2 linked regions of the Alligator mississippiensis genome follow. The protein of the gene in region 1 purifies or fractionates together with the protein of each later gene. This does not show direct contact. Links are inferred from orthologs where the notes say so. Each region holds a gene or a part of one and is shown in the gene's direction. Other genes may lie near its edges. The genes, in order: TNS2 and CSK.

What was found.
Region 2: the proteins of TNS2 (region 1) and CSK purify together in Homo sapiens (affinity purification with mass spectrometry; 6 studies listed by BioGRID and IntAct, with this or other methods). This does not show direct contact. The link is inferred for Alligator mississippiensis from reciprocal best matches to the Homo sapiens genes TNS2 and CSK.

The regions. Positions count from the first base shown.
Region 1 is NC_081838.1:9,348,613-9,364,247, reverse strand, and holds the start of TNS2 (tensin-2), read left to right. Parts: upstream 1-7,960; 5' UTR 7,961-8,347; coding exon 8,348-8,680; intron 8,681-11,342; coding exon 11,343-11,454; intron 11,455-11,558; coding exon 11,559-11,596; intron 11,597-12,070; exon of another isoform or gene 12,071-12,174; intron 12,175-13,505; coding exon 13,506-13,544; intron 13,545-14,021; coding exon 14,022-14,060; intron 14,061-14,256; coding exon 14,257-14,306; intron 14,307-14,412; coding exon 14,413-14,584; intron 14,585-14,858; coding exon 14,859-14,909; intron 14,910-15,011; coding exon 15,012-15,134; intron 15,135-15,315; coding exon 15,316-15,380; intron 15,381-15,635. UniProt on the Homo sapiens protein: Tyrosine-protein phosphatase which regulates cell motility, proliferation and muscle-response to insulin. Phosphatase activity is mediated by binding to phosphatidylinositol-3,4,5-triphosphate (PtdIns(3,4,5)P3) via the SH2 domain.
Region 2 is NC_081834.1:41,570,316-41,586,027, reverse strand, and holds the start of CSK (tyrosine-protein kinase CSK), read left to right. Parts: upstream 1-8,464; 5' UTR 8,465-8,479; coding exon 8,480-8,506; intron 8,507-15,712. UniProt on the Homo sapiens protein: Non-receptor tyrosine-protein kinase that plays an important role in the regulation of cell growth, differentiation, migration and immune response.

The DNA.
Region 1 (15,635 bases):
AACGCAAGGGCGTTAGGGGCTGGGTAGGAGGTCGATCCAGCCTGAGCAAGCGCAGCCAGGCTGGAGCCCCGCTCAGGTGCTGCTGGTCTGGGCCACAGCCAGGAATAGCAGTGGCTTTCTCCGTGCCGTCCTTCTGGGGTGCTCATTACACCTTAATGAAGCCTTGAAACTCTCCAGGCACCGGGAGGGACCTGAGCTGGGGCCTTGGGGCAGGCTTCTCTCTGCTTTCTCTCTCCTTGGCCCAGTGCACGGTGCTGTATACGTGCACAGCAGAGGAAAGGAGCTGCAGCTTCTCCGCCATATGGGTCTCCTGGTTTTGCCTTGAATGCGACCCGCGCGCTGCTGGTTTCTGGGCCTGGTTTGGGCGCGCTCTCAGCTCCGTGTTGGTGCTCCACACCCCCAATGCCACTGATCACCCCACAACAGGATGAGGCTACAGGGTTTTGCTCTGCTACGTGTCCAAGGGGCCCATGTCAAAGTGGGCAGGGGCTGCTGGCCAGTGGTCTAACCAATGGGCAAGACATTTTCTTTCTTCCCTCGGCTGGCAGTGTTTCCCCTCTGCTCCCAGCCATGTGGATCCGGATTGAGCCCGGCCTGCTTGGGCTGCTGCCTGCTCCCGGCCGGAGGTGGGGGCTCCGGTGCCCAGCCCAGATGTTGAAAGCTCCTTTGTTTGGCCATGACTCACATCTGCGCACGGCTGTGGTCACACACAGGATGTGGGGTCTGCGCCGCTCTCACGAGGCCAGTGGGACTCTGCCAAGCCTGGTCTCCATCCCCCTCCTTGCTGTCCTTCCAGGGACCAGGTGCCATAGGCGTTGTACAAACATAGAGGCCTAATGTTTGCTGCCAGAGAGCTGATCTTGCTAGCATCTTTTCTGTTTTTCAGGAGGCTCCTTGTCCACGAGGGTGCTCAAGCGGGCAGCCGCAGGGGGGGCATTTTGGGGTAGGGGCACCATCAGCTCAGGCCAGAGGGGCCTGGCTCGGAGGCCAGCCCCAGTGACTTGTCCTTCCCTGGGCTTCTTTCCTAGGCCCCTTGCGCAGGACTGAGAAGGATAGCATTTCTCCCTCCCGGGAGGTGCAATGGTGGATCAGACGCTGGGCTGAGCTGTGGTAGTCCTGGGTTCAATTCCCAGCCCTGCTCCTGGAGATGTTCTCCAGCTAGGCACGGATACACAGCCCTGTGGGGAGCAGCTCGGTGGTGGCCCGTGGGATCTGCACTGCAGGGAGCAGGGCCTAGGGCTGCTGACATGATGAATGCCTTCGAGCCAGAGGTCCTCTGCCAGCAGCCTGCACTGCTCTGAGTCTAAGCCTACCCTGTTTCCTTCCAGAAGAGGGACTGGATGAATTCACAGCTGATCGATCTACTGCTGGCTGTTGAACAACACAGCTGGAGATGTTTCCTCTGGCACCTCTGGGCCTATAATGTTGGATACCAGGGATGGTATTGAACAGGGGCAGATCACTCTGGATGTGCCTGGTTCAACGCTCTCCTTCTAGGCTATAGTATCCACTTCTTCTGCTGTCGGTGAAAGGATCCTGGCCTAGATGGACCATCTGTCTAACCCAGTCTGGTACTTCGTATATTCCTAGATAGAAGCATAAAATTGTAAAACAGGAGGGTTGGAAGGGACCTCAGTGAGTCGCATCTAACCAACCCCTGCTGGAAGCAGGACCAGCCCCAACTACATCATCCCAGCCAAGGCTTTGTCTACTCGGGTCTTAAAAACCTCCAAGGATGGAGACTCCACTACCTCTCTGGGTAACCTGTTCCAGTGCTTCACCACTCTCCTAGTGAGAGAGTTTTTCCTAATATCCAACCTAACCTTCCCTTGCTGCAACATGAGCTCATTGCTCCTTGTTCTGTCATCTGCCACCACCAAGAACAGTTCAGCTCCATCCTCTTTGCAACCCCCCCTGCAGGGAGTTGAAGGCTGCTATTAAATTTGCCCTCGGTCACCTCTTCTCTAGACTAAATAAGCCTGGTTCCCTCAGCCTCTCCTCATCAGTCATGTCCCCCGGCCCCCAAACCATTTTCATTGCCCTCCGCTGGACTCTCTCCAACTTGTCCATTGCCTTTCTGCAGTGTGGGACCTAAAACTGGACCCAGGACTCCAGATATGGCCTCACCAGTGCCAAATAGAGGGGAAGAATCATTTCCCTTGACCTGCTGGCAACACACCTACCAATGCAGCCCAGGATGCCATTAGCCTTGGCAACAAGGGCACACTGCTGGCTCATATTCAGCTTCCCACTGTCACCCCCAGGTCCTTTTCTGCAGAGCTGCTGCCCACCCAGTCAGCCCCCAGCCTGCACCGGTGCATGGGATTGCTCTGTCCTAAGTGCAGGACTTTGCACTTATCCTTGTTGAACTTCATGAGATTTGAGATTGCAGGGGGAAAAGCCAGTTTTCCTAAGACTGAGGCTAAAAGCACAGGGCTGGCTTATAGGCAGGCTCGGCTTGTCCTCGGGACAGTACGGTAGGCATGAGGGAGCTGCCAGTGTGCCTCCCCACTCCTGGCCCTCTGCCCTCTTGGCCCAGAGCCCCAGCGCCAGCAGGGCGGGCAAAGCCACGCGCCTGGATCCTGGTGCACGAGGCCTGGAAGGAGTGAGCTGGAGGCAGATCCTCCTGCTGGGAGGAAGCAGCTGGCGTGTTTGGGGTGCCCACTGGAAGCAGCCGGTCATCAGAGCCTCCTTCAGGACTCTGGCCTGCTGGGGAGTCCCTGCACAGCCTGGGGCCCTGTTGCACCAGGACAGCAAGGGAGGAGAGGGCCCCAGGAGCCAGGGAGGCGAGAAGGCAATGGGACAGAGCTGGGCAGCTCAGCAGGCCGCAAGCCTGGGCCCCTTGAGAAACAGCCCATGGCCAAGGCCAGCAGGCCGTCCCGGGGCTCCGAGTCCCCTGCTCCAGCCCAGGCAGCTGGCTCTAGGCGCGGGGATCGATACAAAGAGCCCTGCGCTCCCCGTACTGCTCGGACATCCAGCTGCGACCTCAGTGAATCCAGATGTGGGGCAGGAAGAGGATTCCCATTGTGCACAGAGGGATGACATCATCTCCCGAGTCCACCTGGAAGGTCCTGCAGGTCTAGTCAAGAAGCAAGGGGCGGTGATACCTGGCTCAAAGCGGTGATGTCCTAAATGGGAAGTGGCATCATCCCATTCACCTGCGGGCACCGCGGGGTTCCCACGGACGGCCAACGGTGCTGGATGATGGATATGATGTAACCGTCGGATGACAAAGCCCCCAGGATTCCTTCGGTGATGTCACACCATGGAGGGACGATGTCACTTGGCTCCACTTGTGATCTCGCTTCAGGGCAGAACAAACGAGGACCCCTGCGATTCCCCTGCCCACATGCTGGCATTGAGGCCTCAAGGAAGAAGGGCCCAGAGGGTTGTACAACATCCTCCAACAGCAGCACAAAGAAGGGGCTATTTTTAAGGCTGAACTTTGGATGATCTTGACCCCAACATCCCCCATCCCCCCCCAGCCCTGCCATCACCCCCAGCATTGCAGCCGTCACCCCAGTGCCCCCACCCTATCCATCCATGACGCAGCCGGGGTTGGGGCGTAGGCTCTGTGCCAGGGGACACTAGGGCCAGGCCCTGGCATGAACCTCTGAGGGAAAACTGGGGGCAATGAGTGACAAGCCCAAGGGGCCAGGGAAGGGCAGTGGCAGGGCTGGGGACAGCAGCCTAGCTTCCTATGTGCGCATGCATACATGCACGCACACATCAATGCACATGCACGCACACATAAAGACACATGCACACCACTCATGCACTTGCATACATGCCCATGGGCACACAAGAAGACAGGCAGGTACATGAGCACACATACATGCACACATGTGTGTGCACACGCACACGGACACACACACACACATCACCACAGAACAACACCGCAGCCGATGTGGGAGCGGGAATGTGTTTCTAATTATCCCCTTCCCGCCACTGGATTTAGGCTCTCCTCCCCCTTCCCGTCCACACCTCCTTCCGCCGGGGTCTGAACCCCCCGGGGCTGGGGCTCCCTCCCCATCACCCCCCAGTCCCGGGCTCCCTTCTCCACCTGCTCCAGGGGCCCGAGCCGGGTGAGATCCCGGCTCCTGCTGGCACTGCCAAGTTTGCTCTGGCACAGAGGGAACTATGATTAAGCCATGTGTGCGTGTGCGTGTACGTGTGCGTATGTGTGTGTGTGTATGTGTGCGCGCGCACGTGTGTGTGTGTGTATGCCAAAGCCAAGGGGGGGCTGTGGGGGAGTGGAGCAGGAGGTGGAGTTTGCAAGATCCAGAGGAAAAAAACAGTGCGGAGGAAGAAGGCAGCGTGGGGCTGCGTCCGCGGGGGAGACTGCATGGGCCGGGGGGCAGGCGCCCGCTGCTGGGACCGTGGCTGCTGTCAGGGGCCCCCAGCGCCCGGGACCCGCACGAGCCACGGCCGGATGCAGCTGCCCAAGGTGCGATGCCTGTGGGGTCGGGGCAGGGGGCAGGGAGCAGGCCAGGAGAGCCCCATGGTGGGCAGGGGCATGGGGGGTGGCAGGGCCAGAGCGGAGTATCGTGGGGGGGGTGATGGCAGGGGGGTCAGGGCCTGGCAGAAGATGTTTTGCAAACGGCGTCACAACCGGGCGCTGGAGCAGGGAGCTGGAGCCAGGCGCCGGGTGACAACCCTGCCAGCTCCCGCGCTCACTTAACCTCGCACTGCCCGGAGCCCTGGTGGCAGCCAGCTCCCGGAGCCTTCCTGACCCCGGCTCTCCCGCCCTGGAGCATGAGGATGGCACCCCCCTCCCCCAGGTGTGTTCCCGTGGAGATGCCCAATTGGGTGCCTGCCCATCATGACCCAGGAAGCATCCCAGCTGCTGGGGGGGCTCATCCTGGGGGTGCCCAGACAGGGCCTGCTCTGCCCCCCACCTCTCAGGCCTCCTCCGCAGCCCTGCCCCTGCCCCCCAGCAGCCTTGATCCCGAACCAGCACAGGAAACGCTTTACATTTTTTTCGGTTCAAGCCTGGTTCAGGGAGTCCCGAGGTCCGGGCGCAGCGTGAAAGGGCCCGGGGGCAGCAGGATGGGGCAAGGCTTCCCGGGCCCACGGCGCTGGCAGGCGGCAAGCGGGTTTTGGCAGAGGCGTCCACACCCAGAGCCAGCGGAGGGGTTGCCAGGACACGTGGGCCTGCACCCCCGTTCCCTGGCTGCCCCTGCTGTGGCTTCCTGGGACAGTGCCCAGGTGGCCGGATGGCGAGCTCTGTGTGGCACGCAGTGCCGGGCACTGGGCCCCCTGGGCGGGGAAGGGGGTCCCTTGGGCTGCAGCTGGATCTGCGCAGGGGGCGGGAGCTGTGCCACCTCCTGGGTTTATTGCTGTTGGGGCCTGCTAGAGCACACCCCTGCCCTGCCCACTGAGGGGTTAATGAAGCCTCCTGCAATTAGCCAAAGGTAATTAAAGTAATTCTGTGGTGCAATGGGCCAAATGCCACCACCAAGCGGGGGAGCAGGAGAGTGGGGGGGCCGAGTCTTGCCAGAGCCGAGCCGCCCAGGCCTGCAGCTTCCTGGGCCGTGGGTTCGAATCCCGCACAGCTGCTCCAGTGTCGGGTGCAGGGCGCTGGGTTCTGGGGTCCCCAGCTCCCGGGGGGGGGGGTCGTAGCCCAGCTGAGACCGGACAGACTCGTCACACCGGGGACCCTCCTTGCCCAGCCCCAGGGATTTAAAACCCAGGAGTCCTGCCTCCCCCACGCCCCCAAGGCCAGGCCACAGGGGGGCGCCCCCAGAGCTCTCCATCCCCCATGGAGAATTTGCCCCTGAGGGGGGCAGATCCTGCCCCCAGGCCTGGGGTGGGAGAGGTGCCAGCAAGGTGCTGCAGGGGGGCAGGATGGAGCCCCCCGCCCAGCTGAGCACTGTCCTATTAACCCTTTCAGCTCGGGGGTGGGGGGCCAGGCAGACCTCTGACATTAACCCTTTCTTGCTCCTGGCTGCCCCGCCCCACGCAGAGGGGGTTAACCCTTTCTGTGCCCCAGGGCTGGGACTGGGAGGGAGGGGCACCCCTGGGATTAACCCTTTCCGCTCTGTGGGGGGGCACGAACCCCTCCTGGTACCCCAGTAGCTGGGCTGGGGGTGCCCCCCCTCGCCCCCAGGTTAACCCCTTCAGCTCTGCAGGGAGACTCCCACCCCTTGGAGATTAACCCCTTCTGCTCATTGGAGGGGGGGGTGTCTCAGACCTTAACCGCCCCCCCCCCCACCCCGCATTAACCCTTTCAGCCCTGGGGGGGTCTAAAACCTCAACCCCCCCCTCCAGATGATCCCCCTCTGATCCCCAGGGTTTAACCCCTTCTGCCCGGGGATCCCAGGGCTCTCCCCGATTAACCCCTTCTGCCCCGGAGCCGGGCGACCCACCCCCTGGCCCGGGCTTAACCCCTTGTGCCCCGGGGCGGAGGGGGCGGGCTGCCCCCTCATTAACCCCTGGCGCTCCGGGCGGAGCAGCCGCGGCCCCGCCCCGCAGGAAGCCGGCCCGGGGCGGGGGTGAGGGCGGCGGCCGCGGACCCGGAGCCGGCGCCGGAGCCATGAAGGTACCGCGGGGCCGATCCGGAGTCGCTCCGCGCTCCGTTTCCACGCCGGGGCGGGGCAGGCACAGCCGCGGGGCGGGGGGGAGGCTCCCGCCAGCCCATAATAACCCCGGTGCTTCCAGGCGTTGCCGTGGAGACCCCTCCCCCCCGGGCTGGGCGCTGCTGCGGCCGTGGGAACGGGGCCGCTCCGGATTGGACCGGGAGGGGGGGGGTTCGTGTGACAGGGCAGTCGTGCAACACGGTCTCGTGTGACAAGGCTCATGTGCCAGGGCGTCGTGCAAGGGTCTTGTGTGACAGCACTCGTGCAACAGGCTCATGTGACAGGGTCTCGTGTGGCGGCACTCGTGCGACGGGCTCGTGTGCCAGGGCGTCGCGCAATGGGCTTTCATGGGACGGCACTTGTGCAACAGGCTTGTGACAGGGTCTCGTGCAACAGGGCCTCGAGTGGCGGCCCTCGTGCGACGGGCTCGTGTGGCGGCACTCGTGTGACGGGCTCGTGTGGCGGCACTCGTGTGACGGGCTCGTGTGCCAGGGCGTCGCGCAATGGGCTTTCATGGGACGGCACTTGTGCAACAGGCTTGTGACAGGGTCTCGTGCAACAGGGTCTCGAGTGGCGGCCCTCGTGCAACGGGCTCGTGTGACAGGGTCTGGTGCGATGGCACTCGCGCGATGGTCTCGTACCACGGGGCGCTCGTGCGGCAGGGCCTTGTAGGACAGGGGCCTCGTGCAACAGGCCTGGAGGGACAGGGGCTTGCACGCGGCAGCCCCAGGGGGCCGGGGGCTGCACTGCCCGGGACCCCCTGCGGAGGCCTGGCCCTGGCTCCAGAAGAGGGGCGGGAGCTGGGAGAGGCTAGGCTGCTTTTCTAGCCCTGAGCAGGGGGGAGTCACTGCAGGGGGAAGCACAGCCCGAATATTAGCAGCATTACGGTGCCCCAGGACCCGCCCTGGGATGTGGGGGGCCACAGCAGGGACCTCGCCCTGGCCCCCCAGGCTGGCTGGAGCGGGCTGCTCTGCTCCTGGGGGGCCTGGGGTGCTCTGTAGGGGTGCATGGGCTGGGGGCTCAAGGATGGCCCCGGGGGTGCGAGCCGTGGTTGTGCAGCTCCTGGCGCGCAGCGGGGTGCCCCAGACCCCCGGAGGTTCCCGGCCTGTATCCACCCCTCGGATCGGAGCCAGAGCAGGGGCTGGGGCCAGGCCTGGTGCGGGGCGGGGGCACCAAGTGCCTGGAAAGTCCCTGGCCCAGGCAAGGCGCGTCCCAGCCCGAGGTCCTGGCGAGGACACGGAGGAGGACAGGGAGGCAGCAAAGCAGGGGCCAGGTTGGGGGCAGGCAGGGAATGTGTGTGTGTGGGGGGGGGGGCACGTGTGCGTGCCCAAGTGCGGGGGCTGTGTGTGTTTGGAGCTGGGGGAGGCTGCGTGTGTCACAGCAGGTGTGTGGGAGGCCGTATGGGGCAGCGCTGCATGCGATGCGGCCACACACGTGTGCAGGTCCGGGCCAGCTTGCACGTGTGGTGGCTGCCTGCACACATGTGCATGTGCACACGTCCTTGTGCCCCCCTGTGCACCGGCCTCTCCCTGCTGAGAGCTGATGTCAGCGCGCGCGGCCAGCCCCCACCCTGCCCCGTCCCTGGCAGGCCCCGGCGCTGACGCCAACCCGAGGTCCAGCCCCGGGAGTGGGCCGGAGCCGAGCTGCATCCTGCCTGGCTCAGGGCCGATGCTGGCGGTGTCATCGGTGTCACGAACCCCTCAGGGCTCAGCCTGCCCTCTCCCCTGGCTCCTCGGGCTCCCTTGGCCTGCCTGGGTCCCCTGTGGGGCATGCAGCCTGCCTGGGCCAGCCCCAGGCCACTGCAGACCCCGGACCCTGGCAGGCCCTGGGCCATGGCAATGACCTCAGCACCACGGGAAGGAGCTATTGTGCGTCAGGAAGCCCCGTCCTGCCGCAGGCCGGCCCTGCCTCATTGTTTCCAGCTGCACGTCCGATCCCACGGGCAAGCAGGCGCTGGCCAGCAGGACCCCGCTCCTGTGCTGACAGGGCGAGGGGCTGCCCAGGCCAGCCACAGTCGGGCCATGAAGCCGCGGGACACGCTGGACGTGCTGTTTCGGGTGCTGGGGCGGAGGGGCAGTGCCCGGGCGCCAGGCACGTGCAGGGTAGGTGTGACCCCCGCCCAGCTCTGCTCGGGGAGGGTCAGAGTTTCCCCTGGGAGCAGGGGTGGTCCAGGACAGCGGACCCCTGGGGATCTGGGGGCCAGGCGCAGAGTGGGTCCCCGTGGGAGGTGCCAGGGATGGGTCTGACCCGGTTCCCAGGCTCGGCTGGACTAGAGGGGCCATGTGCCCTTGTCCCAGACTCACTGCACAGTGCCGAGCGCGAGGGGCTCCTGCCAAGTGACTTGGGAGCTGCCTCTGAGTGCCAAGGCTGTACCTGGGGGTGGGGGCAGAGGGGTGGGAGTCGAGCCTCTGTCCTGCCCAGGTGTGCAATGAGCTACCTAATCTCAGCCCAGGTCCTGGCTCTGCATGCGTGTGTGCGCGTGCATGCATGTCTTCATGCCTGTGCCTGGGTATGTGCACAGCATGTGTATGTCTGCACGTGTCACATCTGTGCAGGGGCATGCACTTCTGCCTGCATGCATGTGCATGCCTGCATGCATGTTTGTATGCATCTGTGTGCACATCTGCATGTCTACCCATGTCTGCCTGCCTGTGTCTGTGCGTGCATGTGCATCTGCATGTGCACAGGTGTGTGTGCATGTGTGGGTGCGCATGCCTACGTGTGTGTGTGTACATCTGTGTGTGTGCGTGTGCATCTGCGTGCATGTGTGTGTGAGCATGTTTGTGTGCATGTATGTCTGTATACATGTATGTGTCTGTGCGAGTGCATGTCTGCATCTGAGCCAGGGCAGGAGAACCCAGGAGTAAAATCCCCCATGGGGGTCCCATGTGCAGTGTGTGAGGCAGGGCAGGGCCTGGCGGGCTCGGGGCTGACTCGTGCCTGCAGCAGGCAGGGCAGAGGGTGCAGAGAGCAGAGGAGAGGATGCCCAGGTGCCCTCAGTGCCCGCACTCGGCCCCAGCCTGTCCCCTCTCGCTTCCTGCACTGGGAACACAGCGTCCAGCTGTCAGGGAGACTCCCATCCCGCTGTCACGGGGGCGTGGGAACAGCCCCCGCCCTGCCCGGGCCATGCTGAGGTCTCCGGGCCAGCACGGGGCTGGCGTTGACCAGGTTGGCATCTCCCCCATTGCTGCCCGCCCCATCCCTTCTCTTGCCCTTTCCATCCCACCCTCCGTATCTCTGCCCACTTTCCTCTCTCCCACAACCCCCCCCCCGCCATTTCCCCAGCTGCCAGCTCAGCCCCTCACAGGGGTCCCAGAGCAGGAGCCCCCCATGTCATGGCCCAGCTGGCAGGGGCGGGCACGGTGCCTGGGGCACGCGCACAATAGCGGGCACTGACACGCCGCGGTGGGACGGAGCCAGTGAGTAAACATGTTGTTCTGCTGCCCGGGCCTAGCCGTGGGAGGGGGGGGCGGGCACTGGCAAGGGCTGTGCCATGGCGCAGATTCCTGGGACTCCAATGGCAGGACTCAACCCCAGCCCGGCCGGCTCCTGGAGCCCCCCTGGCACACCAGGGCACAAGGCGCCAGCCCCCTCCCCGTTCGGGATGCCGGTAAGAGGTGAGGCGAGGCGGGAGCTGCACTCTGTCCGCCAGCCGTGGCCGGGGCTCAGGGCCCTGCTTGCCTGGCTCGCCTGTGCATGCAAGGGGAGTGTGCAAGGGCAGGTGCCAGAGGGGCATGTGCATGCATAAGGCATCGGTGTGTACTCAGGAGAGCGAGCGTGTCCACACTTGTGCGCACTGGTGCATGCGTGCATGGCACCTTTACTTCAGGGGTGGGTGTGAGTTCATGTGTGCACCGGGCTCCCCGTGGCCCGGCTGTTCCACTGTGGCTGGCCGTGCCCCGGCTTGGGAGGGCTGAGGCTGTCCCAGCCCATCACCGGGGTGTCAGGTCTGGGACTGGGGGGGCTCCCTGCTGTTGGCAGCCCCCCACTTCCATCCTCAGCCCCCCGCCCCGCGCCCCAATCCTGCCCTGCAGCACAGATACTCGTGTTCTCCGCCGGCTGCAACAAAGGGACCGATTCATGGCTATTTATAGCTGGGCCGGCGCGTGAAAGGCGCCCATTCAGCCTGGCCCAGACAGGGCAGCTTTCACTGCCGAGGCCCCTGCCCCAGACTACATCTCCCAGGAGCCCCCTCCTTGCCGGGTGTCCCCAGGCCCTGCCTTATTCATTCCAGGTGTGGATGGAAGTTGGGGGACGCGGGTCCTGGCTGGAGCCCTTGCCCCAACGCTGGCCGTGAGCGTGGCTAGCAGAGCGGGGGCCTGGCTAGCAGGCAATGTGGGTCTGGGGGCAGCGTCATGGGGGCACAACCCTAGCTGGTTCCTCATACCCTAGGCGATGTGTTCAGGAGAGGGGTCATGCCCAGGGTCACCCGGCAGGTCAGTGCCAGAGCTGAGGATAAAACCCAGGCGTCCGGGCCCGACCGCAGCCCCAGGCCTGCTGCATCAGGCCCCAGACAGGGGGGCATGCATGGGCTGGGGGAGGCTGCAATGGGAACGCCGGCATTTGCCCCCCCTCCCGCGGCTGGAATGCGGCGGCGTTTCCGGTGGGACAGCTGGGGCGATGCGGGGTAATCGGAGCCGCCGCGGGCCTGGGAATGCGGCTGGGGGGAGGCCTGTCGTGAGTGCTGGCTCTGTGCACGGTGCCCAGGCAGGGCCGGGACCCAGCACCCCACGGCACCAGCCCAGCCACGTCTCTGCTCCGCAGCCAGGGAAGGGGCCAGAGCCGCACAGCTTCCGCGAGAAGGTGTTCAAGAAGAAGCACCGGGCCTGCGCCGCCTGCAAGGAGCCCGTCGAGGCCCAGGGGCTGATCTGCAAAGGTAATACGGGAGTGGGGGGTGCCGGGGAGCTGGTTGACCCCCTGCTCCCAGAGCATCACCCCCACCCAGGCACCGCGGCCCCTGACCCCCTTCTCTGCCCGCAGTGTGTAAGATTGCCAGCCACCGGAAATGCGAAGCCAAGGTAAGAGCCTGGTGGGGGGGGCCCAGTTGGCCTGTGTCCCTTGACAGGAGACAGAGCCAACCCGCCCAGTCCAGCCCAGTTGGCACGTGGCTCTAGGGATGGACTGTGCTGGGGCTGGCTGGGGGAGGAGAGAGGATGGACCGTGTCCCCTGCCCCCCCCAACTTCCTCTGCCTTCCCCGTGACCCGGGCTCTTATCTCTGCTGGGAGGCAAGGAGAGCAGGGGTCCCGGATGCTCCCAGGGGACCTGGGCTGAGGATGTGCAGAGACAGGCAGAGGGGCTCATGGGGAGTGGGGGGGGAGGGGGCAGCCTGCAAGGGCACTGCTGCGGGGAAGCTTGCAGCCTGGCCAGTTCAGCAGGAGGGAAGCCAGGGCCCCGGCCCAGGCTCCTCTGGCCCTTTAAGCCCTGGCAGATGGTTGTGTAAGGCTGGGTTTGCCTTGGCCCCGGGCCAGGGCTGCAGCTACAGCAGGCCCCAGGCTCAGTGCTGTCCGTCGGCCAGCCGGCGTGCAGGGCAGGGACGGGCACAGGGCTTGCTCGCGGTGCCAGGAGCCCAGAGAGCAAGTGTCCTGCTGCCCCCAGGTAACGCAGCGGGATGGATGCCACAGCCCCCCCACAGCCGCTGTTCCCAGCTCCCCCCATAGGGGGCAGCATGGGGGTGGGGGGGGTTATCGGGGGTGGGGCACATACCTGTGTGCACGCGCGTGTGTCTCCATTGCATGTGAGATGGGAGAGAAAGCGAGGGAGTGAGGGAAAGAGGAGAGGAGGAAAGGGACGGGGTCCTGGGCTGGTACCGGGTGGGCAGCGGTGCCCATGGGTGCTGCTGCAGGGCAGGACATGGCCCCAAGGAGCTCTCTGGGTGCCGGGTGCTGGGTCCCTGCAATGGGACATGGTGCTGAGAGCAGAGGGAGCCAGGGGAGCATCAGCCAGGACTCCTGGGGTCCCCCCGGAGAGGGAGCAAGGGCTGCTGGGGAGATGGGGAGGCCTTGAAGCCAGGACTCCTGGGTTTCCCCCGGGCACGATGAAGAGGGGTCAGTGGCTCGACCAGCCGGCCGGGGCCGGGGCCTCCTGGGTCCTGGTCCAAGCTCTGAGACAGAGCGGGGTCTAATGGTGGTTGCATCCTGCCTCAGTTTCCCCAGGTGGGCAGCAGAGCCTGGCAGTGCCCCCTGCCCCGTGCCTCGGTTTTCCCCTCCTCGGGTGGCCATTGACGCCTTTCCCTGGTGGTTCTGGCTTCCCGCATCCCCCGCCCCCAGCTGCTCCAGATGTTTTCCCAGGCCCTGGCTGGGCGCCGGAAGCTGGGAGGAGGCTGCTCTGTATCTCAGGGCTGGGGGCTTTGGGAGGGGGAGGGCCCGTTGGCAGCAGCCAGAAGGGGCTGGAGGGGCAGATCGAGATGGGGGGCACCGGCAGGAGCAGAGCAGTGCGGGGCGGGGCATCTGGGGGAGTGGCGATGTCATCTTTGCATATGCAAATCAACTCCCACTGACTGGGGGGGCAGCCCTGTCCCCCCACCCTGGCCTGGCGCTGCCCCCTGCCGTGGGGTGCCATCGGGGTGCCCAGGCCAGGAGCGAGGCTAGCTGCCGGAGCAGGGGGCCGGGGTCCCCCTGGGGGGCTGAGTCGAAGGGGGGTCACCGCAGCAGTGGTGGGCAGGGGTCCGGGCTGAATGGCCCCAGTGTGCGTGTGTATGTGTGTGCATGTCTGGGCGCGGCCTGTTTGTGTTGCTCTATATATAACCCCCCCCCACCCGCCGTGAATCACGGCCTCTGTGTGCTCGTGCGGGAAGGGGCCAAGGAAAACAGCCCCAGCCCCCCGCCGGGGCCGCCTCCTGCCCCGTCACGCTGGCGTCACGGCCGGGGGGCCGGGCTGGCACTCAGGGGCGCCTGGGCTGGTGCTGACCCCGTCCCTTCTGCTCCCAGGTGACATCGTCCTGCCAGCCGGCGCCCCCTCCTGAGCTGGTGAGTGCGGGGCATTAATGTGGCGGGGAGTCTCGGGGTTCCCCGAAGCCCACAGCTGGTACCAGGGGGTCCGGAGGAGCAGGGGCTCGTGCAGCTCAGGGCATTGCAGGGCCCAGCAGGATTGAGGCTGCGGGGCGGGGGGATCGCTAGCATGCGGCAGCTGCCTCCACCTTCATGCTCCTGGACAGGCAGGGGTCAGGAAGGAGCCCCCGCCTCTGCCTGGGGCCCCTCGCCGTCCCCCACAGCTGCACCCTCCTGGCTGCAGAGCCAGGAGCTAAGGGAGCCGGGTGTCCAGCTCCCAGGATGCGGGGGTCCCGGCCCATCCCCCTCCCCTGCTCCGACACATCCGTGCAGCCGTCAAGGGAGGGATACGGGCTCCAGCTGCTGACCCAGGGCCGCTGGCTGCGCGCCCGGCCTGGCTGCTCCGGGATCTGGCTCCATCCCCCCTCTCCTCTCTCCCTCTTTCCCACACGCCAGAGGAGGAACACGGCTCCGACGCGGCGCATCGAGCACTTGGTGAGTCCCCCGGCCCCTGCATCGGGAATGCCCCCCAAAGCCCCCAGGCCCCGGCTGGCATGCTGGAGCTGGCGGGGCGTGAAGGGGCCAGGGGAAACCGTCCTCGCACATGGCTCCCTGGTGAACCCGTGCGAGACCGGGGCTGCCCAATGCCCGTGAAACAAGGCAGGACCCTGACCGCCCCTTTGTCTTCCAGGGCTCCACTAAGTCCCTAAACACGGGGAAGCAGCGGAGCACCCTGCCCAGGTGAGGGGGCCAAGGGCACGGCCGAGGGGAGACCTGGGACCCCCATGCCTGTTGGAGGAGAGTGGGGTGGGAGACCCCCTGCCCTGCTCATAATCCTGCCCACCAGGAGCTTCAGCCTGGACCAAGTGATGGAGCGCGCCTACGACCTGGACCTGACGTACATCACCGAGCGCATCATCTCCGTCTTCTTCCCCCCGAGGCTGGAGGAGCAGCGCTACCGCGGCCACCTCTGCGAGGTGGCCCAGATGCTCAAGTCCAAGCATGAGGACAAGTACACGGTAGGAGCCTAGTGGTTACAGCAGGGGCAGGAGCCAGGACTCCTGGGTTTTCCCCTTGGCTTGGGAGGGGTGGGGACCTAGTGGTTAGAGCTGGGGGGAGCGGGGCAGGTTGTGCTGGAAGTCAAGCTCCTGCTCCCTGCTATCTTGTCTGGCCTGGTGCATGGCTGTGCCTCAGTTTCCCCACAGCTGGCACCAGGGGGCTGGGTCCATGCACTGGGGGTGTGTAGGGGCCCTGCCCCACCTGCAGCCCCAAGCCTCTCGCTCTCCCCTGCAGCTCTTCAACCTGTCGGAGAAGCGCCACGACATCGCCCGCCTGAACCCCAAGGTGAGCAGGGGGTGCTCAGCTCGGGGGGGCTGAGGTGCATGGGGTGGGGGAGCCATGTGGTCAGCTCATACCCTCTGTTTCCCCACCCCACCGGCTGCACAGGTGCAGGAGTTTGGCTGGCCGGATGGGCACGCGCCCCCCCTGGACAGGATCTGCTCCATCTGCAAGGCCATGGAGAACTGGCTGCACGCGCACCCCCAGCACGTCGCTGTGCTGCACTGCAAGGTGGGGACAGGGCTGGGGGGTTTGTTGGGGGGGCTGGGCCGAGGGGACTGGCAGAGGTGGGGGCAGCCCCTGGAGGGGTTTGGGGGGCAGCAGGGACTGGGGTCTCTCAGGCTGGGCTCTCATGCCTGCGCCCCAGGGCCTTGCTGTGTGCGACCCCCCTGACTCACCCTCCTTGGTGTAGGGGAACAAAGGCAAGACGGGCGTCATCGTGGCGGCCTACATGCACTACAGCAAAATTTCTGCCAGGTACGAGATTGGCATCCCTCATCCCAGTACAGGGGGGCCAGGATCCCTCCATCCCAGTACAGAGGGGCTGGGACCCCTCCATCCCAGTACAGGGGGGCCAGGATCCCTCCATCCCAGTACAGAGGGGCTGGGACCCCTCCATCCCAGTACAGGGGGGCCAGGATACCTCCATCCCAGTACAGAGGGGCTGGGACCCCTCCATCCCAGTACAGGGGGCAGTATCCCTCCATCCCAGTACAGAGGGGCTGGGACCCC
Region 2 (15,712 bases), on another chromosome or scaffold:
GCTGAGGGTTGGTGTAGGGAAAACAGAAATGAGGTTAGAAGTTTTCTGAGGAAATGGTAGTAGCGCTGGTTTCTTGTGTGTCCTGATGCCCAAAGTGATACGTAGTCTTGATATCTTACCTACTATTAGTCCACAGTCAGTTTCAGTTGTGAAAATACATAGTGTATATATAGTATAGCTTGCTAATTGCCATAATATCTAGGTGCTGCCAGACCAGACTCATCAGATGTTTTGATTGTATGTTGGATCCCTTCCTACCCCCTGCTTTGCTTTTAGGGCATGGATTGTAACATGGTTGCAAGGAGCCCAGCACATTGGGTTTATAGATTGGGTTAAACTGTGTTGAAGGCAATGGGTATTCTCAGACCCATAACCTTTGTGTAACCAGGCAGCTGAAACCACAGAAACACCCCCACCCCAGAAAATATGCATGGGATAAAACTGGACTCAAAGGTGAACTGTATGGCCCAAGAAGTTTCCTTAGGGGTAGATACAGCAAATGCAGGCACTGGTGTGTCTGGGTATTTCTGAGAGAAGCAGCAGCATAGACTGAGAAGCTGTAAGAGAAGGAAGTGCCAGCCACAGCTACAGGCCTAGTTGATATATAAGGTTAACATCCGTGGAGCAATGGTTAGTCTCTCCCTTGTTATTAGACAGGGCTACTGGGTATATGTCAATTGATTGACAACTAAAAAGAAAATGGGGACAGGAGCAAGGTCACAGGCTAGGAGCCAATGGACTCTGCCCTGTGAAGCTCTGCCCAGAGACGTGAAAGGACCAGGGACAGGACGACCATCCTGCAGTCCACAGAAGTCCCCAGGGGCCAGAGCCTCCTTCCTGGTCAGGTAGATTGCTAGCATGGCTAGGCCTAGTTACAGGTAGTTTGACCCTAAAAAAGAGGCATAAGAGCGAGATCCTTTGGGGCATGAGAGAGAGATCCTGTCTGCCAGAGGTACAGAGCTATGAGCAAAGAAACTGCCTCCTGTTACTTGAGTCTCTGGTGGTTGAGGGAAACACTGTTCTGTGCAGTCGTTGTAAACAACCAAGACTGCACACGATTCCTGATTCCATCCTCACTTTCTCCAGCTAACTGGAGAGACTTTGGAGGCCCAAAAGTTGGCTGAAAGCAGAGCCCATGATGCTTGATGGCCACTTGCCCAAATCTCCACTTTTCTACCTCCCAGCCAGCTCCGAGCCTTTGCTTCTTCCTTTCAGAGGCAGACCCGTGTCTTTGGCACCTCCAACCTCAACCAGAAGCAAGAGCTGGATGCTGAGGGTGTCTCACCACTGCCCTCCAACTCTCTCATCCACTCCCAAGTTTCTAGATCAGGGCTTTAAGTTTTGAAAGCCCCGGTAGAGGGGTAGGAGGGCCTGCTTCGGATCCCCTAGCACAGCTGCTGCCACTGAAGGGGTCCGGAAAGTAGGCTGCACCCCCGCCTAAGAGGCTGAGCCCCGAGGTGCTGCGCCCTTTAGCCCAGCGGAGCGCCCTCCCGCCACCGCGGTGCCCCGGGAAGCCCAGCAGGTGGCGCGATCTCTCTGCCCACGCCTCGGCCAGGGATGGGGTCGAGCCCAGGCGGCGCAGGCGCGCTGCTCCGGGCGGACGGATCCGGGCTCCGCTTCCTTCCACCAGGCCCTGCGAGCTCCCCGCTGAGCCCGGTAGGGAGCGGGCGGCCGCGGGCACAGAGCGAGCGCCAGCCCCGCGCCCGTCGCCCCGCCTCGCCTCGCCCCCGTGAGGAGCAGGCAGAGCCCCCCCTTTCCCCCGGGCCTCCCCTGCCCAGGCCGGCAGGGGCCCGAGCAGGCGCGGCTGGAACGCGGCGAGCCCGAACGTTCGGAGATCGAAAGCTCTGGGTGTTCCGCAGCGTTCGAATTTGGAACCCTCGCTGTGGGCGCTGCTACATTGTTTCCTCTTCCTCCTCCTCCTCCCCGATCCCTCCCTTCCCCGATCCCTCCCGCCCTGGGCCCCGCTACCCCCCAGCCCTGCTTCTACCCCACCCCTTTGTACCTCTCGCTTCCACCCCCGGCCCAGCAGTGCCCAGGCCCCCTTGTCCCACCCCGCCGCATGGAATACCCGGCAAGTGGCCGAGCCCCACGCTGAGCAGCCGGCTCCCCGGCGTGGAAGCCAAGCCAAAGACAGATCGGAGCCTGGAGAGAGGTGAGTGCTCCCGCCTGCCCCCCTCTGACCCCTCAGTACTCGCACACTTCGGGGAGGGAAGGGAGTGGTTACTACAGGGGCCCAGGCTGCGTCCTGCCCTCCCCCTTCCACAGCTTTTCAGTGTGATCTGGGCTTGGGCAGACTCCAGGATCCCAGCTCTCCCTCCTTGCCATCTTCCTGGTGGGTGGGTGCCACCCTTGGGTGTCCCTTAGGCACCCTCTGCTCGCAGAGTAAGGGAGGGAAGGGTCTGACTCCAGCTCAGCCTGGGGAGAGCCATCGGGCACTTTGCGGGAACCTTGCAGGGGATGCATACGGGCACTTCCTGCTCCCCAGTCCCAGGGGACCGTCTGCTGGGGGCAGGCTCAGTGCTGGTATCGATGAACCAGCACAGCCTTGTCCCTGTGACCAAGTGGGGAAGCAGAGAGAGAAAAGACTTCTTACATGGTGTGTGGGTTTCCAGAGCACGTCCATCGCTCTCCTACTTGGCCTAGGCCTGTGAGCTCTCCCTCCCCCACGCCCACCCCCACCCCAGAATCTCATTTCCTTGTGTGATCAGACTGGGGTGTGCTGAGAAAGTGGACTCTGAATGAGCGAGCTTCCCTCTCTGCCTTGCCCTGGATATAGCATGAGGCCTGGGGTGGATTTGAGTTACCAGTTTCCTGTTTTATACCTCCCCCAAATAAGCCAAGAGGTGCCCAGCTGGAGGGTTGGGAGAAGGGAGAGGAGCTGGCTTGCACACAGGCTCTGGACTAGGTCCCTCCCGCCTTGTTCCTCCTTGGCAGACAGGCATGTTCCTGAAGGATGGCTCTCAGAGCTGTGGCAGCCCAGGGTGAGATGACAGCAGCTGAAACAATGGGGACTCCATCATCCCTGCCCAGACCATTGCTGCCTCTCCTTCTGCAAGGAGCTGACAGGTTCATAGAGCACAGCCCGTCCTCCTCTGAGATTTGTGTGCTCAGGGCTCTGGCTGACGGTCCACAGCCCAGGGATCAAGCGTGCAGGAACTCATGGCTGTAGTGTAATACGTATTGGCTTAGTCTGGATGATACACTGCTGCTGTCACCTCCCATGCATTTCATTGTAGGCAGACAGCCGGGCTACAGCCAGTATTAGCCTTTCAGCTCCGCATTGTGGAAAACAACCAAGCTATTGAATGCTGAGAGTTTGGATTTTTGCCCCTCCACCTCCCTCCCCTCTTGACAATAAGTGAGTCATATTGCTGTGAGCTGGCTGGGGGACAAGCAGAAGGTCTGGGTTACGGCCTTTGGTTTGAGATCAGGGCAGCCACCACAAAGGAGCCATTACCGGACGTTGCCCGGATGGGTGAGTGTGGTGGTGCTGCCATTTTTGAAGCTGCGGTTATGGGTTTGGTGGGATCTGTGAGACTATTTACTTTTTTTATTTATTTTTTTTAAACATCCAGTGGTTCTTTAGTGCGTAGCGGAGGTGAGCAGGAGGGGTGACTTGACAAGGTGTTTAAACGTCCGGTGAAAACTTAGGAACATTGACTTTCGCTCTGTTACTTTATGTCTACAGACTTCTGCTCTCTTACATTGAGAATAAAAGGAGCTGTGTCCTCCCGCAGCGTTTTGCTGGCCCGTGGAATTCCAGGCTGTTTGGCAGGAAATCAAATAGCCAAATGGTGCGGTTGGAATGAAATGGGCCGGATAACTGTGTGACCTTGGTGGTTTGGGGTGGCTCAGGCAGAGGAAGAATTGACCCTCGGGCTTCAGGGCATAGGCAGGGGTCAGGAAGGAATTTTTCCATGTTCCACCCCTACGGTACATGTGCTGGTGTGGAGAATTGGTGTGGAGCCTTGGCTATGCTGGCGGACAGGTACCAGGGGTACCATGCTCCATGGAACCAGCAGTTGCCTCCAGCCTATTTCTCTTTTCAGGTTTCCCATTGTTCACTCCAGCAAAGGTTTACACCTTTGCTGATTGGGCTGGTGCTTCAAAGCATGGAATTCACCCTCATCCCCATGCAAGCTTGTTCATTTTAATTCAGGCCTTTTATTTCATTCTCTTTTGTTTGCTTTCTTCTAGTGCTGGGTCCCTTTGGAGTTGCCAGGGCCTCCAGGTAGATGCAAGGGACTGCCGGTCTATGACCCTTTTAATACAGAGGGAACTCTGGAAAAATGTTGAGTGTGCAGTGGGACACAACACTCGCCCCAGGATGGTTTATTCAGGGTTGATCCTGCCTTGAGCAGGGGGCTGGAGTAGATGGCCTGGTGAGGTCCCTTCCCTGCTTTTGTGTGACTCTTTCTCGGAGGTGTTCTTGGCTCTGGAGTTGAAAAGAGAGAAAAATCCCATCCACCTTTAAAATTCAATGGGGTGTGAGGAAATCTGAGGGAACAAGTGGTCTTAGTTCAGGAGAATAGCTACTGACCCCTTGGCTGGTGATTGGTAAGGCCAAAGGTGGCCTGGCCCCCTCCGTCTGATCCCTGATGACTGTGGGTTGCAGGGGGCAACTTTCCCAGCTGTTGCCTATTTTTCCTCCACCTGATGACTTTGGTGGAGCTGCCCCTGCCTGCCCCATGGCTGTATTTTGTTCTGTGTGTGTGTGGTTCTGTGTATGTGTTTAAGGTTTTCAAATCTAGCTGCTCTGGGGGGTTCCCCCAGACAATCAGCACAGGGTGCAGGGCTGAGTCTGTGGCTGGCCTCTTTTCCCCTCTGTAACAATTTCCCATCAGTGCTACTACTCGTTCAGCACCACTGCCCTGTAGCGAAGGGGGTAGGAAGACTAGAATAGTAATGGTTGCAGCTGGCAATAACTGTCTAACCCAGTGGTTCTCAACTTTGGTAGACTCAAAACACCCTTCAATCAGACTTGAGGACCCCCTCAGAAAATGGCAGCTCTTGGCTTTCACTCATTTCTTGAATGTGGAAAAATGCTTCCTCAGCCTGATGAAGGGTGTCTTGCTAAGAAGAATTTTTTCCAACTATTTGAGTTGGTCTAATAAAAGATATTGGATTTACCCAAAGAACCTTGTCTGAAAAATACCAGAGCAGTTCTTCTGTTGCAAGGGACTCGGAAAGCCCACGGCAGGGAGGAACGGCTTTGACACCCTGGATCCCTGTTTGAAACCTCTGGGTTTATCTTGTGAATCTTGTGTAGGTGTTCACACACCTAAGGGTGCTAATATGGCACAGCATCCCACAGCACCCTTGAAAAGATCTCATGGCACCCCAGAGTACTGCAGCACCGTGGCTGAGAATCGCTGATCTAACCCATTTGGGGCAGATCCATATGGCTAAAACTCAAGCTGTGATACTGCTTTTGTAGTTGCTGTCATTCATACAGTTCTGGAGATGGCAGGGGTGGGGGGGGGGAGTGTTTGGGGGGCGGAAAAGCATAGGGTAAACAGTAAAGGAAGTGAATCTTTCTTATCTGTGTAAACTGTCAACCTTCACTGCTTCCCTCTATGGTGAAACTCGCTGTCCCAGCACGTGTGAAGCTCAGTTACTGTTCTCTCGCATGGTAAAGCTGGGGATAAAAGAAAATAAGATGACCCAAGCTGTTTGGAACCCGATGGGGCTGGCTTATCCCACGAAACAAAGAGACCGTCTTGTCTGTCTGCCCCCGTTGTATTGCAGATCACGTCAGAGCCCGAGTTCTGTTGTGCGCGGCAGTCCCCTGTCGGTGCTGGCTGAGTCGAAGGCACAGTTTCAGTTCAGTTTGCTCAGCTCTCTTTGGCTGGGTTGCAAAGCTTTTAAACCTCAGAGGTAGCCTGCCTGCAGTTTGGGCCTCCGTTTGACTGAATTGCAAAGCTGAAGCGAAACCAGTGGAAGATACTTTTGGCCTGATTTACAAGAACGGGGCATTTGCGAGATTTCATTCAAGTAATTTCCCAGGCAGTGCCCTTCAACTGGTCCTCGCACTGCACACGGACTAGACTTACGGAGTTGGACGCATGGTGCTAGCCTACATTTGGGGGGAAGGAAGGATAGATGTTGACACTGGTTATACTGGTGTGATCCTTTAGTGGAGAAATAGCAACCCTGTGCCAATCATGGCTTGGGATGTTGTGATTTTGGGGTTGGTTGGTTAGAACCTGCCTGAACCCCAGGCCTGAGCTGAGGTGCATAGATTAGCTAAAAATATACCAGAGGAAAAAAAAATCAGGTGTAGGTGGGCTGAGTTTAAAGCACCTGTCCCAGAATAGTTCCTGTTATTATAGGCATCCAATAACATCAGCTTTCTGCCAAATTTTCTTTCTCCTTGCGGAAAAAGTCCTTTCCACGAGACCAAGACCCTGACTAGAAAAGAGAGGGGCATCAAAACCCACTGTATATTTCCCGCGCTGTGAAACTCGCACAGCCCAACCGATCAAGCAAAAACATTCTTCTTTTGTTTTTTCTTTTTTTCTTTCAGTTATGGTAATTGTGGGCATTGCGTGTTATGGCAGCAGATACAATCTTTTGCTGTGCGTTGAGGCTTTTTTTTCTAAGTTCAGTTTCATTTCATTCAGGAAGGGGAAATATAAGTTGAGCATTAGGAAATGTCTGATATTGGGATCTGGTCACTTAGGGTTAGATCACCCCAGGTGTTAAGTAGGGTGGGTTATCAGGAATATTCATAGGGTCCAGGTCTTGACTGCTAAGCTTTTTGTCTAGAATGGGGTGGGGGGGGTCGTCTAACAACTGGCCTGCAGGGTTTCTGGAGGGGCAGGGAATAGGGCTGGGGGATGAGTGAGGGTAGGGCCCGTTGCTGAGTTCTGGGGTACGGAGCCCAATTGGGGATGTGTGAGAGTGGCTGTGGGGTGAATGATGGCTGCATTAACCCTTGCTCTGCTTCTGGGGGTGGGTCCAGATCTGGCCTGTCATCCTGATCCTCCCCGGGGAAGGGGGCAGGCAACCTTGGCAGCCCTGGTTTACAAGGAAGGCTTCTGTCTTCTGGGAAGGACCTGTCATATCTGAGTGCTGCCTCCTTGCCTCTGAGGGCAGAGACCACTCCGGTGCAGCTGCAGCTCCCAACCTGGCCCAGCAGCAGAATGAAACCCAGGAGACTTTGATCAGTTTTAGTCCTCCTTGTAGAGGCAGGAAAGGTGTGAAACCCAGTAGACTTTCCCTTGTGGGAGGGTGACCTTTAAGCAGCAGCAGAAACCAGTCCTAGGCCTGCTTGCTGCATGGGAGGATTTGAACAGTGGAGTGGGGATGGCAGGTGGGCAGAAGATGTGGGCACTTTCATTAGAGCTGCCAAGGTACGGGGGCAGGTCAGCATGTACCCAGCCATCAAGAGAGTGAGGAGGCCTGGAGCCACAAGGATAGTCGCTCCTTCCAGCCAACAGCTGCGGACAAGCCGAGTGGGGGATACAAAGGATGAGGCCCTGTATAATTGAGGCATCAGCTAGCAGGGTGAAGAGCGACAGACATCAGTGCTTTCTCCCTGGCTTGGGTGAGGGGTCACCTCTGATCACTCCATTTCCCACTTCAGTCTGCTTCGAGCAGGGGCCAGGGACAGCCTCTGCATAGGAATTCCCACGCATCCCCTCTCCCCAGCTGCTGGGAGTGGGAGCAGGATTTCTCTCTTGTTGGTAGGACTTCTTTCCCAACCCACGGCTAGCAGGTCAGATCTGCTGGCTAGTTGATGGTTGCTGAGTTTTTTTCAGGCCTGGCTGTATCTTGTGGAATGGGCTGTGGTTGGGAGTGGGTGACGCGGCCATCGGAGAAGTAGAATCTACGGTCGTAGCCACTGCCGGACAGTTGTGAATCAGCCGAGGGGCGGACTAGGGATAATCCAGTGGGATTTGTCCGGTGGCTTTAAAAAAACAAAACCAAACTGGCAGAAACAGTGCTACATTCACCCACTGTCAAAGCATCTTGTGCTCTGCCTGCCTCCCCTCCCTCCTATAGAGGGAGATCAGCTCCAGGGGAGGTCCCTACAGACCCGGGAGCTAGGCTGCCTAGGGAGCCTACGCTATGATTTCCTTATTGTGTGCAGCAAAGTTGTGAACTGGGTTTGAAATGAAAATGCACTGTTTCCCATGCGCACGCCCCCCCACCCTCCCTGCCGCTCCTCCGCACTCCCTGCCCTTGCGGTGGGGTTAGGAATCGATAGCATCTGGCCGCCAAGCGCACAGGCGGATGGACCGGAGCGACTGTGCTCTCAGCTCCCGGTGATTGCAACCTCAGCTCTTGGTGCAGGATTTTCCTTTTGCATCAGGCACTGTGGGGGTTTTTTCCCCCCTTCTTCCCCCCTCCGTCCCCCTCTCTGACTGGAGGAACTGCAGGAGATGAAAGAGAAGCGGGGATCTCTCAGTGGAGCCCGGCAGCCACCGTCTCACTGATTCCTTTGCTTCTCTGCTCTCCTGTTATGTAACCAAAGATGCTTCTCAGCTTCTGCTCTGGTCTTGTAAGTTTTTCTTTCCCTCTCTTTCTTCCTCCCCACTGTATCCCCCCCATACCACCTCCCCCCTGGCCCTGACCCACCTTGGAAAGGCATAAATAACTAAGACTGGCTGAAAGGCTGCTGGCTGGGCCCCGTGCTGCAGAGGCTCAGCACTGCATGGTTAGGATCTGCTCCAGTCCTCTGCCTGGTGCGATGGCGTTTGGCCCAGGCAGCCTTCATGCCACCGTAGATCCCAGCAGCCTCCACCATTGTAGAGAAAGGCTCTGTTATAGCCTGTGGCTTCAATGGCTGTGCAGGTCAGTCGGTGGTGGTGGTTGCGGGGGTGGATCCCTGGTCTCTCTGCTGCAGGCAGTGATGAGGAGGAGTGTAGGGGAGAGTGTGTGTGTGTGCTGGGGGCAGGGGTGGCCAGTTTTGAGGGGGATGGAGGGTTGGGCTTGTCACTTGGGTTACCCCCCACCCCACCCGCCAGCAATCACAGGGTTCACATCTGCTGTGCTGTGGGATGAAGAAGCAGGTGCAGGGTGACGAGGGAGATCGGACCAGCTGTGGGATGGGATCTGTGGGGGTGACTATGATTCCTCCTGGTTCTGATGTGTGGGGGAACATGCTGAGCAGGGCATCTGGCTGAGCAGCTGGCTAAGCCTTGGGTTTGAAACTCCTGTCGCCCGAGTCTCCTTTGCATTAAGGCTGAGGCTCCTGCCCAAGCCTCGCGGCTTCTGCTCGCTCGGACCCTCCCTCTTTGTTTCCAGAGTCAGGTCGATGAGAATTGAGTCCAGAGACCCCCCCTCCATTGACTGGCAGTCAGGAATTGCAGCCGGTTGCGCTCGTCCACTTTCCCCTCGGTTGGATATGCAAGTTCCGTGAGGCTCGGCTCTGTGGTCAGTCTTGGCGGCTGTGGTCCAGTCTGTGCTGCAGTGATGGGAGAAATCCTCCTGGCATGATGGAAACATCAGGCTGGCTTGATTGTGCTTGGCTGCCTTTCCTTCCTTCCTCCCCTAGGCCAGCTGGGCTTAGACTGGCGGTTGCCTTCCTCCCCAGAAATGGCTGCACTTGAGTGGTATTGCATGTGTACAGGTTGCAAGCATGGTTTCAAGTTCCCCTCTGTAGGCACCATCTTTGGAAATACAGTGGAAAGGGGCTGCACCTTCCCCCTTGATCCACAGAAGGTTTTCGCCAGTTAGTGAGGGGGATGTTTTAAATAACCTTCCTCACCTGCCACCTAGCCCTAAACTCTACCTCCCCACCTCCCCCCCACTCTACAAGCCTTGGCAAGGAAGCCTTCCAGCATGCCACTAATTCAGGCTCCAGTAGAGCAAGTGAGGAGCAAGCCCCAGGGTTGAGGTTTCTCCTAGAGTGTCCCAGCTTTGTCAGATAGCAGTCAGCAGCTGGGAGAGAGCTGTGATTTCATAGGGAACCAGGTCCTGAAGCGTAAAGCTTTGCATTGGTGCCTTGAGTTTATGGGAAAGTAGGGCTGGAAGGGACCTTGTGAGGTCACCTCGTCCAGCCCCCTGCTCGAGACAGGATCATCTTTGAGTTTCACCTGGATGTGTGTCGGCAGGTGGGGGCATCTCTCGGAGCAGGGCAGTGGTGTGCTCCTGACGTGTGGCTCCCCCCGGGAATCCCCCTGCGGCACTGTGTGCTAATCTCAGCATGCAGCAGCGCTGGGAGCTTCCGTTGCTGCCAGGTGACAGAGGCATAGGTGACTGTGGCAAGGTCCTTACAGTGGAGAGGAGAGGCTGCCCCCTTCCTCCAGGCACCCGTAGGAATCACACTCTTGACCTAAGGGCACCCCAGCCTGGTACAGGACAGCCCCTGCGACCCTGGAGATAGTAACAGCAATTGTAGAAATAAGCAGCTTTTATATGTCGACTGTGGCTCTTCAGGCTGTGAACTCTGAGCCTCCAAAATAAGCAGGCCATTGTTTTTGAAAGCTTGCACATCTCTGATTTAGTTAGCTTATTGCAGGGGCGGCCAACCTGTGACACAGGCAGTGTTTGTGGATTTGCCCCTCACAAAAGCAAGGCATCTGTGCGGGGGGTATCTTGCTGCAGTACAATTTCATTGTATTGAGTTCAGCAGAGCCGTTGGGGAATCGCTTGTGATCTGGTGTTCTTGGCTGCATCCAAAAGCCCAGCGAAGCCAGCGGGCATCTTTCTGCTGACATCCCTGGGTGTTGGACCAGTTGCCCTGGAGCAAGTAATGGAATAAATCAGGTAGGGACCTAGCCCAATGATTGCAGGCTTCAGACCCACTGGAGAAGCTGGTAGGATGCTGGAGAATCAAAGTCCTATTCCTGGACCGTTTGCATCCATAGTGATGACCTGTGGCTGCTTAGCAGGGGAGGTGGGAGGAACCACGGAAGCTGCCTGTGTTCATGGACAGCACAGACCCCTCCCCCTTTCCTAGGCCATCTGCCCATGTTAAGGCTGAAGTCAGCTTCCCACGTTAAGCCTATTCCCACCCACATGCAAGAGAATCTGCTCCCATCTCTCTCTCAAGGCCGGCAGCAGCGTCCATGTCAGAAATGCCACTCTCTGGCCTCCTCCCTGGCCCTCTCTGCAGGCCGGACCTCCAGACATGTGGGCAGAGGGGAGGACTCCACACTACGCCTTTTCTGTGTTGCCTTTGCCCTACAGGCAGTTAACCTTTCAGGATCCACTAGCTTGGAGGGGGGAAGGGGAGGGGATCAGCTGCCTCTGGTATTGATTCGGTCTCGGCTCTGACACGAGGGTCAGTAGATTTGTGCCAGGGCCGTTATCTGCGGGTTCTAACCGCTCATCGTCTCCCAGGATGGGCGAGGAACCACAGCTGGCAAAGAGCCTCTGGCCCAGCCCGGTTGATCACTTCTTCCCCACTCCCCTTCCCCCACCCTTGTCTGTATTTCCTCCTGAAACAGCTCGTGGCTGGAGCTTGCCTCCTCTCCAGCCAAAGCAGGCACATTTTGAGGGGGAGGAGCCTATGACATGAACTGTGGGCTCCCAGAGGGACCCATCCAAAAATAGCAGGGCTTGATCCCTTTTCCCCTACTTCCCTGGCCTCAGAGAGGGCATTTCATCCAGAGATGTTTGCTGAGCTGCATCAGAGCGCCTGTGACTTCTCCGTGAGCCTGGCTTGCTGATGGGGAAGTGGCACTCGGCGGCATCACAGCAGAAGAGATATGACCTCTTAGTGCAATGGATGGGTATGGTCAGGGTGTCGGAGGAGGCAATGGGCAACTGGGGTCTGGCCCAGCAAAGGAATTTGGGTGCCACTTCCTGACCCCCGGCTGAGGAGAGCCAGGACTGGCTTCCTTCCTCTCCTTTCCCATGTGAGTTTGGTCTGTGCTGGAGATAAACTTGGATTTTATTAGTGGAGGGCAGGACCAGGTGGCTGGTGATGGGTGGCCCCTTCTGTTCCTGTCCTCTGGACCCTTTCCTTATTGTCACAGTCATCATCACAGTCCACTGATGTGTGCTCCCCTGACCCCACTCCTTTCTCCCCCTGTAATTCGGAGCCACTGGTATGAACTACAAATTGCTGAGTAACAATTGAAAGTCAAACTACAACTTAAAAATAACCCTCAGGGAGGAAGAGCCCATCTAAAAAATATGGAAGAGGAGGAAAGGGGGATTTCCAGAGCATTGGCCACGGCTGTGTCTAGCTGCAGCTGTGTCAGTTGGGTTGCAGTCCTATCAGCACCCATGAGTTAAGGAGAATCGGTTGGGAGACCGTCAGGGAAAGTGCAGGTACATCAGGTGGTCTTTTACTGAGGCAGTTCCTTAGCAGGTTCATAAGGGGCACTGTACCACAAGAGACGCTGTCTGCTGGCCAGAAACTAGGTTTTGACTTGCTAAGATTCCTTTGGATTCTGTTGGAAGCCTGGGAGTACGACACTTCGCCTTCCTGAATTTATCCCTCCTGTTAGAGATGGTTTTACTCCTTCCTTCTCCTATCTCGTTAACAGGGGCACAGGAGCAGAAAGTAAAGGACAACACGTATTTCACCCCAGAGTGGGCCACATTTCAGCATGGCCAAAGCCATCCCTGTATCTTTGCCACCGGCAAAGCACATTACGAGTCTGCAGGGCAAGAGAGCATTTGATGAGGGTTGCAAGCTGTTAATGTCACTCGTCCCCAGCAAGTGATGCATAAAGAAGAGTTTATTCAATACATTTCTCCATCTCATCTGTTCACAGCATGTCAGCAGACAGATCCCAATTGTTCTTGCATTTAGCTAGAAGTGAATCCATGGGCATAATAGAGTCGATCTATTCCCTGGCTGGCTGTTTGAACTGATCATTCAGTAGCCACATGCATAGCTGGGTTTCCTGGTTGGATATATCCTGTGTGTGTTTGCCTGGCTTCGGGTTTGCTTTTTGCAAGCGTTTATGCTCATGCACTTCAATCGCTGCTGTGATGAGGGAAAGGGAATACAAAAGATGTGCGAATGCGGCTGGAGGCAATTCATTAAAAAAAGAAATATATGGCTGTGATGACCTTGATTGTAACGCTCCTCAGTTATATGCAAACACCATGGATATTAGTGGGGAGAAGCTCTGAGATGCATTAGCCCTTATTGCAGGGGTAGTACACCTGCAGCATGTGTGCCACAAGTGGCATGGGCAGCCTCCGTGTGTGGCATATGGCAGATCAGGGAGGACAGGGACCAGAAAGCAGAGCAGCAGATCAGGCCTGCAAAGGGGATCAGTGTGGCTGTTGGGCAGGGTGTGGAGCTTAATTTGTGGCACATCAAATAAGTTGGCTCCCTGCTGCCTTATTGCTTGATCTGAAGGAGTAAGTCTTTGTTCCTTGCTCACAGCAGGTATGGTGACTCTGAAAGGGGGATTCTCCTGTATACACCAATGTGGCTGTATCATTAAGTAGGGTGGATGCATCTCATTAGTTCAGTCTGGGCTGTTTTATTGAGATGTTCATTGAGATTTGGTTTTAAATCAGGGATGTTAACATATCCAGCCTCATGGGCTGAATGGGGGGTATGGGTCTGGTCTGTACTGGGGCCTGCACACTGGTCCAGCATAGACACCTCATGCAGTGCATGCCCTAGACAAGCCCTGGCCCTGTGGTGCATGTGCAGAGCTGGCACGGGGCGGGCACCACATGAGGAGCCCGTGCTGGACTGGCCCTGAGCGTAGGCTCCAGTGCCTAGGGATGATGTGTAGGCCCAATCTAGTCTGGCTTCAGAGCGGGCTTTCAAGGCTGGTCTGGCACAGGTGCTATATACAGTGCATGCCCCAAACTGTCATGGACACCACCCATGGTGCTGGTTCTAGTCCCATGCATGGTTTGCAGCCTGTGCCACCCTAGCCTCATGAGCCATATCTTTGACACCCTTAGTTTTAATGAATTTTAATTGCTTATTGCTGAGTCTTTGCTGTGCATGTCTTGTGTTAGACTGTCTGGTTTCCTAATGGTGAGCAAATTGTCAGCATTCATACTGAGAATGGTTTCTTTTACTGCTTTGTCACATCCTCTGTTTAGCTGAATGCCTTTGGGAAGCATGGCTGGAAAGCCATTGGGATCGCTGAATTCTTTGGGATGAGGGAGACAGATACAAGTAACTGCGTCAAACCTCAAGGTAGAGGCACACTGTTGGCTTAAATCAGGGGTGTCAAAGATGTGTTCAGGGGTCCAGAAGAGGCTGGGAATTCAGAGGCAGGGCCCAACACCAAATTCCAGGACATGGAGCCCCATTTGCAACATGCTTCAGTGACAGCATGGCAAGCAATGGCAGCGTCTCTGTCACAGTGGCTTAGACACCTGTGGCAGTTCACATCCCTGCTGCTCACCCCTGGGTCTGGATACGGCCTACAAGGAGTCCTGCAGTCTGCACCCCTAACCCCCTACCCATGCAAGTAATACCTGTGGCTTAATTTAAAGCTTGCAAGAGAGCAGCATGTAATACCAGTGGTCTCTGACTGCAGAGTAGGGATACGCTGATGCATTAACTAAAGTCTTGGAGGAGAATGGTTTTCTGCAGAAAACCGACACTTCCAAGGGTGTACAGATAAGCTGCCATTCAGATCTCATGTTGTTCACCTAACCGAGACTTGGCCAAATGAAGATGTACCACAAAAAGCTTCTGCGCGCTGTTGTGCTCATCTGTGCTAGAGAAGCCAAGTTCTGGGTGCCCTCCATCCCCTTGCTATGAAAAAACAGCAGAGTGGAAGGCAGTGCTGATAAGCAACTAGCTGGAGCTCTGTTTGCAGCAATGGCACAGCTGATGCGTCAGACTTCCACACCACCAGGAAGTAACCTGCTGTAGATAGGCTGACTTAGGGTTTGCAGCTGGAGGGTGATCAGACTCTCAGCTTTTGGAAACTTTTGAAGACCCTGTCCTCTAGGTCGGGGGTTCGCAACCTTTTACCTGAATTAATGCAGCTCAGTGCTAAGGCGGGTCATTGCTAATGACCCAGTCACCACCACTGCCATCGATTCGCCTTTCCCCACCTTTGTAGCCCATTAAAACCTCTTTGCAGACCAAATCTGGCCTGTGGGTCAGAGGTTGCAGCCCCTGCTCTAGATCAGTGGTTCTCGACCTCTTTTGTACCAGGACCCATTTGCAAACATTGATGGCTGGTCCCAAACCAGTGCCCCTCACTCCCAACCTGTTGCCCCCTGCCCCCAGGCCTCAGCCCAACAGTGTATGAGGCAGAGGGTAGGTGTGTAGGGCAGGGTGGGGGTGTGTGTAGGGTATGGGTGGCTCCAAGCAGCTGCTTGCAGGCTGTAACTCTGCCAACCTGCAAGAGAAAAAGCCAGTTCCCCACATTTTTCTCCTTCAAAGGAAAATCCTATTTTAAAGTTTGTTCGTGACCCTTTCATATATATATTCTTGTGACCCATGGATTGAGAAATGCTGCTCTAGATGACTAAATAAGGGTTTAAGACAGTGATTCTCAACCTGGGTGCCACAAGATCCTTCAACAAGTGCCATGGGGTGCCATGCAATAATAGCACTGTGTGGTGTGCAAACAGCTAAATGCGATTTGCAAGATAAATCCAGAGATTTCAAATCGGAAACTCGGGTTATAAAAAACAGTCTGCCCTATTGGGTGTCTCCGAGTCCTTTGCAATAGAAGAATTGCTCTAGCATTTTTTCTGTAGTCAAAAAGTGAGTGAAAGCTCAGAATTGGCATTTTGCAAGGGGATACCTTGAGTCTAACAAGGGTGCCTTGAGTTTAATAATGTTGAGAACCGTTGGTTTAAGAGCTTA